3 linked regions of the Mus musculus genome follow. Each later gene encodes a partner of the first gene's protein in a complex. Links are inferred from orthologs where the notes say so. Each region holds a gene or a part of one and is shown in the gene's direction. Other genes may lie near its edges.

The links.
Region 2: Pigq (region 1) and Dpm2 share a complex: the UniProt entries of both Homo sapiens proteins name them as parts of the glycosylphosphatidylinositol-N-acetylglucosaminyltransferase (GPI-GnT) complex. The link is inferred for Mus musculus from reciprocal best matches to the Homo sapiens genes PIGQ and DPM2.
Region 3: Pigq (region 1) and Pigyl share a complex: the UniProt entries of both Homo sapiens proteins name them as parts of the glycosylphosphatidylinositol-N-acetylglucosaminyltransferase (GPI-GnT) complex. The link is inferred for Mus musculus from reciprocal best matches to the Homo sapiens genes PIGQ and PIGY.

The regions. Positions count from the first base shown.
Region 1 is NC_000083.6:25,939,168-25,943,501, reverse strand, and holds the start of Pigq (phosphatidylinositol N-acetylglucosaminyltransferase subunit Q), read left to right. Parts: upstream 1-1,512; 5' UTR 1,513-1,687; intron 1,688-4,106; exon of another isoform or gene 4,107-4,334. Other genes in the region: Nhlrc4 (NHL-repeat-containing protein 4), read left to right, coding at 1-141. UniProt on the Homo sapiens protein: Part of the glycosylphosphatidylinositol-N-acetylglucosaminyltransferase (GPI-GnT) complex that catalyzes the transfer of N-acetylglucosamine from UDP-N-acetylglucosamine to phosphatidylinositol and participates in the first step of GPI biosynthesis.
Region 2 is NC_000068.7:32,569,496-32,573,664, forward strand, and holds Dpm2 (dolichol phosphate-mannose biosynthesis regulatory protein), read left to right. Parts: upstream 1-1,362; 5' UTR 1,363-1,414; coding exon 1,415-1,417; intron 1,418-1,710; coding exon 1,711-1,800; intron 1,801-2,801; coding exon 2,802-2,904; intron 2,905-3,463; coding exon 3,464-3,522; 3' UTR 3,523-4,076; downstream 4,077-4,169. UniProt on the Homo sapiens protein: Regulates the biosynthesis of dolichol phosphate-mannose. Regulatory subunit of the dolichol-phosphate mannose (DPM) synthase complex; essential for the ER localization and stable expression of DPM1.
Region 3 is NC_000075.6:22,155,669-22,158,887, forward strand, and holds Pigyl (phosphatidylinositol N-acetylglucosaminyltransferase subunit Y precursor), read left to right. Parts: upstream 1-1,177; 5' UTR 1,178-1,245; intron 1,246-2,063; 5' UTR 2,064-2,326; coding exon 2,327-2,542; 3' UTR 2,543-2,687; downstream 2,688-3,219. UniProt on the Homo sapiens protein: Part of the glycosylphosphatidylinositol-N-acetylglucosaminyltransferase (GPI-GnT) complex that catalyzes the transfer of N-acetylglucosamine from UDP-N-acetylglucosamine to phosphatidylinositol and participates in the first step of GPI biosynthesis.

The DNA.
Region 1 (4,334 bases):
GTTGGGCCACCCATCTGTTTGCAGTTGGAGGGACTAAAGAGGCCCTTGGGTATGGCCTGTGCACCCCAGGGCCAACTAGTGGTGGCAGATGCAGGGGACAACTGCATCAAGTTGTACCAGTATCTGGGGGAGATGGCCTGAGGGGTAGGCTCTGGGGGAAATTGCCCCTTGCTAGGACTGGCCGGGCCTGAGTCCTTTGTACTATCATGGAAGGTTGGTAGGCTCCTTGGGGCCTGCTGAGCCGTCTTCCTGATACCTGGTCTTAGCTGGCTTTGTGATTTCCTCTTGGCAAGTGCCCCTGTCTACACAGAAACCATGAATCACCATTTCTTGATGAGGTTCTAAACTGGGCCATCTCCACTTCCCTATTAAGTATGCTCATAGGTTTTCATGCCCCTAAAACCCAAGGGCCACTCAGTCCCTGGCTCTGCTAGCTTGGGTCTCGGGAGGCCTGAGCTTTGAGGCAACACTTGAAGCTATAGATCCTGGGTGCTGAGGCTGTCTGCCAGCAGATAGCTAGGCAAGATCTCCTGCCAGGTGTCCAACCCCTACATCCTAATCAGAGGCAGGCAGGCAGGCAGGCAGGGAGGGTGTGGCTAGGCTGGGTTGGGCAGTTTAGGGGAAGGGTGTGGTCCCTTAGTGTTCCCCCCAGCTTCAAAAATATTCCCATTCTTGAGCCTCCAACAGCACTCTGGGCCCAACAGAGAGGTAAGGAGTAGGCAAATCAGAGGGGTAAGGCCAACATGTGTCCTGGTAGGGCACATAGCAAGGGCAGGTCCTCTACTGGACACTCCCTGTTTTGAAAGATACCTTCAGTTTTCCCTTCAATCCAGGTCCAAACCACTTTTGAGCACTTAGGTGGGGTGCTGGGACGGTTCTGGGTAGCACAGGTTCTTTCATACCCTTCCATTCAAGACAGGAAAACAGTAGCCTTTCCTCCCATGTTACAGATGAGATCTGGAAGGGGAGGGGTGTGTGTGTGTGTGTGTGTGTGTGTGTGTGTGTGTGTGTGTGTTTGAAGAGCTTACTCATTGAGAATCTGGTCTCACCCATGTTCTTCATGTGGGAAGAAGCAAGAAAAAGCTCCTTGCTTTTGCTCCTTTAGGGTGTGGGGTGGCACCCAGCCTGTCATCTGGACGTTGAGGTCAACACACATGTCACTCCTGCAGGCTAAATCAATATGCCCTGTTCATTATGTTGTGGGGGATTAATGGACAATGAAAGAAACTTTGCTTGTAAGTAGATGCTCAATAAACACTAGTTACTGCGTTGTTAGGGGTATTGCTTTCAGACTATGCGGCCCACACGGGTCTGCATGCACCCTACTCGCAATGGATAGAAACAGATGGAAGGGCCTGGGTTTAGGAGGCCAGGCGGTAAGAACAAAGCGGCTACCATGGTCCTCAAAGGCTGGATCCACCGGACCTTTCAGGATATTTACAGCGAGGGTAGCTTTGATGACAGGAGCCGCGCGCGCGGAACTCTCGGGCTCAGGCGATGGACAGCCCGGGCATGTTTGGGGACCGGACCGTCGCGCGACAACGCCGCGGAGCCGGCGGAAATGGTGCTGATGTCCCGCGGCGGGCCTGGGAGCCGCAAGCACGGTCGTCCTCCCGGGCCCGCCGAACGCAGTGCCCAACCCAGTTCCTTCCCTACCGCTCGGGGACGCGGCCCCGGGGACCAGCTGGTGAGCACTAGCGGGTGGCGGGGCCGGGAGAGGAAGAGGAGGAAATCCCGAGGTAGCGCAGGCCTCTTGGTCCTAAAGACTCTGAGATGGGAAACCTGAGGCCGGGATAGAGGGAGAGGCGGCCACCCACGCAGCTGACCTCCAGGCTCAGCGGCACCCGTTGTGGGTCTGGGCCTGCTCTCCGGAACTTGAGGGCACCGAGAGGCCCCTCCTCCCCTCCAGGCCGGGAACTGGCTGGAAGATTCCTGGGGCACTGGCTGAGAGGCTCATATTTATCCACTCCAGTAAAGATCAGAAACAGATTACCCCCTCCTTTTGAAATGAAAAAGGAAAGCATTTACAGAGGCGGAAAATGTGTTTCTGTGCAGGTTCTCTTTTAGGCTAGGTTGGCCTCAAAATCCTAGTGTAGCAAAGGATGACCTTGAATTTTTGATTGTCCTTTGGCCACCTCCTGATTACAGATATGCACTGCTACTACTGGTCTATGAGGTTCTGGGGACTCAACACAGGGTCTGGTGCAGGCTAGGTAGGCTCCATACCAACTGACTACATCCCTAGTCAGAAAAGTGGTTTTGTTGTTGTTGTTGTTGTTTGAACGTGGGGTAAATATGAACCCTCTCAAAGATTCACAAAGTAATGTTTCAGCTATGATGTGTCCCAGGTCTCTCTTAACTGGGCTGGCCATCCCTCAAGCCTGTTCCTTGCAGGGGAAGTAAGCAGTAGCTCTGCTGCTGAAGTCTGACTTGGAGTTCTGTGAAGAGACTTCCTGGGGCCTCTTATTTAACCCTCCTGGGAATGGGCTGTCGGGGAGGGAACTGACTCCTTCTTAGCAAAGGTAGCTTTTCCAGGCTTGGGCTGTTCTTTTAATCAGCATCTTTAAAGGCCTTCACGCATCCCAGGTTTTTGCCTTCTCGCTCCAGCCTCTCACCTCTTGTATCGATCGCCTGCTCTTTCATCATCATTTTCTGCTGCTGGGATCCCAGCAGCCCAGTGTAAGCACACTCCTTCTTACACTTCAGTGCATCCGGAGGCTGAGATGGGAGTGAGGGTGGGGATTTGCCTCAACTTGAGTTCTCTCAGTACCCCACAGATCAGAGCTCCAACCTCTCTCTGCCTTGCACCTTCTTTCCTTTGACCCGAGCTTTTTTGCTTTAAGGTAAACTGTAAATGAAGCATACTCCACAAGGAGGATGTGCATAGACACAGTGTGTATATAGCACAGTGGATTCACGAGTTGTGAGCAGACTCCAAACCAACCTTTGAAACATCTGTTTATAATTAGATCAAGGGCATTTCTCTTCCTACACGGTTGTGAGCATTTTTCCTTAGTTCATGTGAAGTGTTCCCCCAGAGAGTCAAATGATATTTCACTGAGCTGGTGTGTCCTTACAAAGTTGTTGAACAAGAGTTTGGGCTGGGCTGAAGGGTTCCCTATGACAGTGACCCGCCGGGGCTCTTACAGGCGGAATGGCTCTAGTATTTTTAGCCGTGCCTCATGTCATGGCCTTCTGGAGTCAGTTCCTACTGAAGGGACAAGAGAAATTGGTTCTTGACACTGGCTATGGGGATTTAGCCTGCCCTAGTGTTGGGCGTCAGGTTTTCCCTATGGACACCTACCAATTGCCTGCTTCCTCCGGGTTCTTTGGAGTTTTGTTTTCCTGGAGACTTCTGACTCAGAGTTCTATGGAAAGGCTTCCCGAGACTTCTTTAACGGCTTTTTCAGGCTTGGACTGTTCTTTTAATCAGCACCAGCATTTGGAAGTCCTACAGTGCTGGGTCCCATTAGTCCTCTCAGCATTGGGCTGGGTTATAGTTCATATGAGACCCTAGGTCTAGTCCTCAATATCAAAACCAAAAAGCTTTGCCACATTGTCCATGTGACGGCTTTGGGCTGGACAGGAAGGGAGCAGCTGCACCTGGATCCTTCAAGCTCTGGCCATTTGTCTATGGGCCAGCTACCACCACCACTTGTGTCACTGTCTATCCCCTCGACTCCAATTGTTTTGTGCAGACACTAGACCAGGAAACTAGGCTTCAGCCCAAGATCTGGGCCTCCCTCAGGAAAGGATCCAAAAATGGGGTCTTTGTTCATGGTTGCTGTGTCCTTCACTTCACATGGGCAAGATGCGGTATTGACTAAAGAAAGGCATATGTAGGCACTTGAACCTTGCCAACCATTCCAGCAGTTCAGATCAGCAGGCACAAGTGGAGGACACCCACAATCTCCAAACAGCACCTTTTCTGTGGAAGGAACAGAGTGGGGTCCACAGAGTAAAGGATTTGTAGCTACTATGGTGGTTTTTTTTTTTTTAAAGATTTATTTATTTATTACATGTAAGCACACCAGGCACACCAGAAGAGGGCATCAGATCAGATCAGATCTCACTCATTAGAGGTGGTTGTGAGCCACCTTGTGGTTGCTGGGATTTGAACTCAGGACCTTTGGAAGAGCAGTCAGTGCTCTTAACCGCTGAGCCATCTCTCCAGCCCCTGTGGTGGTGCCCCTGTGGTGGTTCTTAATGCTCACACCAAGAGCCTGAGAGGTCAGGAGGGCTGCTGTTCCCTCACAGAAAATGCGTTGACATTCTCTCATGGAGAGAAATACTGCTCTGCTGGGAGCCCCATCTTGGGGTGTCTGCCAAGGATT
Region 2 (4,169 bases), on another chromosome or scaffold:
CTGCAATATTTTTAGGGTTCTTTTCTGGTTACCCTACAGCTGACCACGTGGTCTGGCAGGATGAGCAGGCCCATCTTCTTCTGTGGGGAGAATTTGCTTTTGTGTTATTCCTTTCTAACCAGGTTACCACTGCACCCCATTCCGTGGGCTGTTCATATCTGTCTCAGCTTATAATAGAAAATTATGTCATATGGGGAAATCAGCCTAGTGTCAATGTTTGGTTTGGGGGTGGAATTAAATGCCGATGTTTTTGTTACTGCTTTTTGTTGGTGTTTCTTTTCATTCTCATCACCGTGTTGACTTGGGGGCTGCTAACAGGAGTTAGCCATGTATGTGTAAGATGACATGCTGGGGAAAGTAGGTTAGTGTTCTCCAGTCTGACCCCAGTCATAATGCTCACCACAAACACACACATACATATTACATATATGTCCACACATGTTTGTATGAATATGAATGGGCACTTGACAAAGGTCGGAGAACACCTGTTACTCCTGAACCTCTTCTTGTTTGAGACGGTGTCTCACTCTGGTTTTGGGGAAAGAATAAAACGTTTTTATTTGGTATTTATAAGGTTTCCTTTAGCCATGAGGTTTAAGGAGACCTACTACTCCTCATGCCTCCAGAGTGTTGGGACTACAGAAATGCACCACCATGCCCAGCATCAATTCGGGGATCTTAAAGCCCCACTTTTGGTCCTAATCATCGAAGAAACTGGTTAAAAATACCTGTCAGGGCACAAAGAGGGAGCTGTTGCCTCTGGTTGCAGAAATGGATAACCTGCATGGTGTAGCATTTGGAGAAGAATGGATCTACAGCAGCTAGCCCCATATGCCATGAGAGTAGTGTTCTGGGTGAGAAACAGAAGAAAAGCATGAAAGATAATTTGGCCCAGCGCCCCTTGGTTCTAAGAGGGCCATTCTGAAACCTCTGGCAGTGGACAATGAAGGGAAGCCTAGAAAGTTCCCTAGGAAGCCAACCAGTGGAAATTCTCATAGGCCAGGCCAGTGGTGGTCATTCTATACAGACTCTTCCATTAACAGTTTCAAGGCCAGAATGTAGAGCCTTTGAATTCTGATGTCTGCTTCAACAACCAACTCATTATGATCTATCCCTTTCCGGGACTTCCAACTCTGGGGTACATCTCACTCTGGCTTGGGACTGTAGGATAATGTTTAAATGATTATTGTTTGGGAAGGGTCTGACAGGGATGTAGCCACAAAAACCTGAAAGTCTGAGCTCCCGGCCCTACAGTTCCCTGCAGAAACTACATTTCCCGACATGCACTGGAGGGCGGGGAAAAGTGCCCGCACGTCAGCTCAGACGAGTCTCCGCGTGTCACGTGATTTACAAGCCGGAAAGGCCTAAACCAGGAACCGGATGTATTTTGTTGCTCCGGCGGAACGCTGGAGAGATGGTGAGCCTGGGGTGGAGTACATGTGTGATTTGAGGGTACCAGGGGTCGGGGCTCTGAGTAAGAGTCTCCTTGGGAGATGGAGTTGGGCTCTCCAAACCCAGATCGCTCTCTCCACCGCTTGCAGACAGGTGACACGAGGCCTGACGTGGCTTTCTAAACCCGAGAGCCACTTCTAGTAAGCCCTCCGTGGTTCTAAATGAATGAGAGGTTTGGAGTGTAAACCGGCTGCTCCGACCCTCCGTTAGTGCTTGTACACGAGCCATCTCGCCTGCTGAGCCTTTATTTTTCTCCAGGCCACCGGGACAGACCAAGCAGTAGGATTTGGCCTTGTCGCCGTTAGCTTGATCATCTTCACCTACTACACCACTTGGGTGATTCTCTTGGTATGTGTGCCCCACCCCCACCCCGCTCACCTTCATTTTGCTCTGGATCTCTAAGCCAGTTTCCTAACGCGACTTAATCAGCGTCTGTGTGCCAGCGTCTGGATGTTTAGCTAGCTCTAATCTCACGAAATCTACACTATGGTGCTTGCAGATGGTGTCTACATTTTATAGATGAGGAGGCTAAGACTCGGGGAGAAGGCTGTTTCTCAGCCTCTGAACTGCCGCACAGTGAGGCTTTATTTTGTGTTTGTCCTCCTGGTTAGCCAGCAGGTTCCTGGGTGTAGCAGTCGCCGGTGGAGTTTATTAACATCTCAAGTCTCTCTCTCTCTCTCTCTCTCTCTCTCTCTCTCTCTGCCTCTCTCTTTAATGTGGGAAATTTTGTTAGTTATTGTTTTAAAGTACACTGTGCTTGGAAAGGGGCATCTTGCAGTACTTGGTATCCTTCAGAGAGGAAAGTTAGGTGGGCTGACCTTCGGTGATGAAGAGAACTGGCTGATTCTCCAGAGGACTGGGGTTCAAGTTCCAGCACCCACATGGCCAGCTACAACCATCTGTAACTCCAGCTCCAGGAGACCCAGCAAAAGTCCCTGGAACGGAACGCCATTGCTGCTTAAGTTGTGTTAGGAGTTAGATTGGAGATCCAGGGCTTGGATGAAAGTACACCTGGACTCACAGGCACAAATGCATGATCAAAAAATAAAGACCTCTTTAAAAGACCTAGAGTTCTCAGAAGGCAGAAGAAGGGGGGAGGGCAGCTTGGTGAGGTCAGCCAGGGCCTCAGAAATCAAAAAGGATGGTTTCCAGCACTCACAAGGCCCAGGCAGTATTCAACAATACAGAGACAATATGGTGGGTCTCTTGTTATGATACATATCCACGCTTGGGGATGCTATCAAGGTGGGCCCTCAGTATCCAGTGCTGCCAGGGGGAGGTGGGACGGCTTCCCTTTGGGGCTGAGTAAGGTGAGCAGTACTCACCAGAGCTCTTGCCCTTGGTGCCAGCCATTCATTGACAGCCAGCATGTCATCCACAAATACTTCCTGCCCCGCGCCTACGCCGTCCTCCTCCCGTTGGCCGCAGGCCTCCTGCTGCTCCTATTTGTGGGTAAGTCTCCCGATCTGGGGCAGGGTGTCTGGAAGGCAGCGTGCTTCCACATGCTGGCACCTGCTGTACATCTGCTTAGACTCTCCTTGTCACCAATGCTCCCCGGGGCTTTCCTATTCCTTAAAGGCCACGGGCAGAAGCTCCTCTAGTGGTGTTCCCAGTTTTCAGGTTCCTGGGGCAATGAGGACATGGCTCCCCTTTCTTTCCTGTCTCAGCTTCATCTTCATCTCTTCAATGTTCCTGCCTCAAGTCACCCTGGCATCTCTTACGGCTCTGTGGGTTGGGAACTGTGTCTTTGCTGTTACGCTATTCTAAGCTCTAGCCCAGGAGCCTAAAAGAGTGCTTGGGTTGACTGAGGAACCACATGGCCGGATGATGCACAGGTGGTTAGCCTTGCACCATTTTGGTGATAGTTAACTGACCCTCAGTGGCTGTGTGACCTAGTGAATGACTGCAAAGATGCACCCCTAGGGGGGTTGGTTGGGAGCCTGACCTTGCATGCCTGGCCACCTAGCTTCCACTCCAATCCTCCCAGTCCCTCCTATTCTGTGTATTACAGGATTGTTCATCACCTATGTGATGCTGAAGAGCCAGAAGATAACCAAGAAGGCTCAGTGAAGGTCCAGCAGGGATGAGGCTGTAGGGGCCTTCTCCATATCTCCTCCAGAAAAGGGACCAAGGGTCACAGCTTACAAGATGGTCAAGCTGGCTGCACTGCAGCCCTCTTTGGGACATGGGGCTGTTTTCTTCTCAGTTTGACAACCTGGAGCCCTCTCTCTCTTGGTCATCCTTTTAGAAGCCAAGAGAAAGGTGGGTTGGGAAGCCTCTCACTTCCCTTAGGCTCAGAGGCTGAACATTGCTGGTTGGTCCTGTCCATCTCACAGTCAAAGCTCCCTGTCCCTTCCACCGAGTTCTCTCCTCTCACCTCTGTGCTCCTCCCACTGTGCTGATGGATTGAGCAGGCCTTCCCGCCTCTCTGTACAAGTCCTGTCCCGTCACAAGGCAGCTCTTCCGAGTCTGACACTTCCCAGGCTCCATGAGGACTTCTGGACCCAGGAAGCCCTGGGGAAAGACTGACAAACCCCAGAACCACAGGGTTACATCCAGGCAGCCACACTAGACCACAATTGGCCTGTTTGGGAAAACTTACAAATAAATGTTAATTGCGTTGGTGTTTGTCTCTCTGCCATCCTTGCTCTGGGGAAACTGGCTAGAGGAGGCTCAGATGCTACTGAGTTGTGCAATGAGGGCACCTCAGGTTGTAC
Region 3 (3,219 bases), on another chromosome or scaffold:
CAGCTCTCTCCTGCCACCTTGTGGTTGCAACAGAAGCTGCACGGACTCTATACCACTACTTACCTCTGAGAAGAAAAACTTTCTGATCTTTTAGCTTGCGGGAAGATTAAGGGATGGAGCTTCCTGTGCAGTACTGTGCAGAATCCTAGCTCAGCCTCATTTTTCTTTACGCTGGGATCAGAGATAACACTGCCTCACTAGGCAAGGCAGTGGCCGGCCCCGTGGACAGCATTTACGAACACCGTCCCTCCCCCCAACCCCAAGGCACACACACTCATCGTCTTACTATGTAGTCCGGATGACCTGGAACTTGCTATGTAGACCAGGCTGGTCTCGAACTCACAGAAATCCGCTAGCTTTTGCCTAAGGAGTGCTAGGATTAGGAGTGTGCTTGGCTACATTTTCTCTTAAAACTTCATTTTGCACTTTTTGCGGGAGTACACTCAGGTGTGCCACAATACATGTGTGGAGGTCAGAGGAAAATAGTTCTCCACCATGTGGGTACCGGAAGGTCGATCTCAGGTAGTCTGACCTGGCAGGAAACGCCTATACTCGCTGAGCCATCTCATCAGCACAAACTATTATTTTGCCATTTACCGATTCATACGTAAAATAATGTATCAGTCATCTTTCCGCTGCTTAAGAGGATAGATGATAGTGGCTGAGGCCAGGTGCGATTCAGGATTCAAGTTTATCAATTAGAAGTGGGGAAGGCAGCCGGGCATGGTGGTGCACGCCTTTAACCCCAGCAGAGGCAGAGGCAAGTGGATTTCTGAGTTCGAGGCCAGCCTGTTCTACAGAGTGAGTTCCAGGACAGCCAGGGCTGTCTCGAAAAACCAAAAAAAAAAAGTGGGGAAGGCTTTTCAGTGCAGAAAGACCCCACTGTCTGCTCTGGAGCGCCATGAATAAACTGTGGCAAATACGTTCCTCTCCTACTTCCAGCAGGACTAGCATAGGGGACGCCCAGCCAGAGACGATGGGATCCTTAGCTATCCGGTGCTCTCAGAGTCTTTCTGGCCTCACCCGTCAATCAAGACCACGGGGGCGGAGCCTGAGCCTGGGAGCGAAGGCAAGGTGAACTGTCCAATGAGCACGCGCGGACCGGCTCCATCGCGGGATCTGGGTTCCTCACCCCGCCCCTGCAGGGATTTGATTGGGCGGCTGGCCGGGCTGTCCCGCCTTCGTGGGGCGGTGACTGTCACCGCCAGGCGCCGAAGGGACCGGACTCCTACAGGCCTGCAAACGGTGAGTTGAGGGTCTCGAAATACGAGCGGAGGAGCTGTTGAAACCGGCTGGGGCGGGACTCGCGCCAGCTTGGCGTCTGCGCCATGGACGCCGCCGACTCCGTTTGTCTGGCTGGTTCGTTTTCGGTTCGGCCGGGTTCCCCCTGTCCTGTCTTGCCCCGCTCGGCTCGGCTCGGTTTTCTTCGGCTCGGCTCGGCTCGGCTCGGCTCTGTCCCTCCGTCGGTCAGAGACTGCAGCGGGCTCGTTGCCCCTTCTGGTCCCCGAGGCGACTGCGCCCAAGGGATGGCGCTGTCTTCGGTCTGTGCATTGACCGCGGGTGGCTCGTGACCTGGCCCCAGGTTCTGGTGCTGGTTCCCAGCCAGTCCTCGTATAGAAAGCCTCACTCAGATGTCTGAAGCGAACCCGGATTTGTAGGTCGCATTCCGCTTCCCCAGTTCACAAAAACATTATCAGTCCACCTGTCCTTCATTCTGTTTTTCAAATTGCTTACTTCCCAAAGTAATTCATGACACTTGTAGTGTTTTAAGCATGGTCTGGCAGCCGTTCTTTTGTCACTGCCTCCTCAATACTGATACCTCTGATGGGGGTCACTATAGGCAGTTTTGGAGGACACTCCTTTTTTTAAAGGCTTCTTTCTAGCCGGATGTGGTGGCTTGGGGAGGCTGATGCAGGAGGATCACAACGTTCGAGGCCAGCCTGCCGGTTCCAGCAATCCTGTCTCTAACCTACTCAGTGCTGGTACTGGCTGCTTCCCCATCCTTTCCTCTCCCTTCCCGTCGCCTGCCCTTCATCTTGTCATCTTGCATTTTTCTCATACAGTTAAAAGACCTCTCGCCTGCGCTGCGAGGGACACAGGTGGTGTCTGCAGTCGCTGGTAACCGCTGCGTGTGACGCGGAGGCTGAGGAGCCGGCACCTTCGGCCTGGGACCCCTGGACTTTCTGCGTGCCCTTGGGAAGCATGCCTGGGTGAATGAGGAGTCGGGACAAGGGGAAGATAAGACAAGAGCGCACCCGCACGAGAACAGAACTTTTCAAACAACTGAGTTTTCTTGAGACAGTTAACCTTTTAAGAAGGGAGGAAGATGATCCGGTCCCTGCCCACCATGACCGTCCTCATCCCACTGGTCTCGCTGGCAGGCCTGCTCTACTCCGCCTCCGTGGAGGAAGGCTTCCCAGAGGGCTGCACCAGCGCCAGCAGCCTGTGCTTCTACAGCTTGCTCTTGCCGGTCACCGTGCCTGTGTACGTGTTCTTCCATCTGTGGACATGGATGGGCCTGAAGCTCTTCAGACATAACTAGGGGAGCCGAGGCCCCTCCTGCTCGGGCTGCCTGCGGAGTGGGGCATGGCCGGAGGTTCCTGGCTGTTGCAGATTCTTTTGTAGCTGAAAAATACTTTTCAATAAAATGTCTTATGGGAGAGGAACACGACCAGCCTTCATCCAAAGACTGTTTCTTCTAAGATTTGTTCTTAATTGTGTGTCTGTGTGTGGGTATGCGCATGTGAGTGTGGGTGCCCAAGGAGGCCATGCAAGTGATGGGTCCCTGGAGTTGGGGGTACAGGCAGTTGTAGGCTACCGGAGCTGTGTTCAGATCATCCATAAAGGATGCGAGTTCATGTTCTTAGCCCCTGAGCCATCTCTCTGCCCGCCTATTGCCTTCTCATTTAGTTCTGGGGAACCTCAAGCTGTGAGAGGCAGACCTTGTCCTCCTTACCTTCCTGTCTCTACCTCCTGAGTGCTAAACTTATAGGCAAGAGCTCCACATCCATTCATGTGGTGCTGGAGGAACCCAGGGTTTCAGGAACGCCAAGCCAGCACTCTGCCAACCAAGCACCCAGGCCCTAAGGACTGTCTTTTTTTTAGCCCATTCATTTAAAAGTTAGTTGTTTGGAAGCCAGGCAGTGGTGACACACACACTTGGGAGGCAGAGGTGGATCTCTTGAGGGTCCAGGCCAGCATAGTGAGACTGTCAAAAAT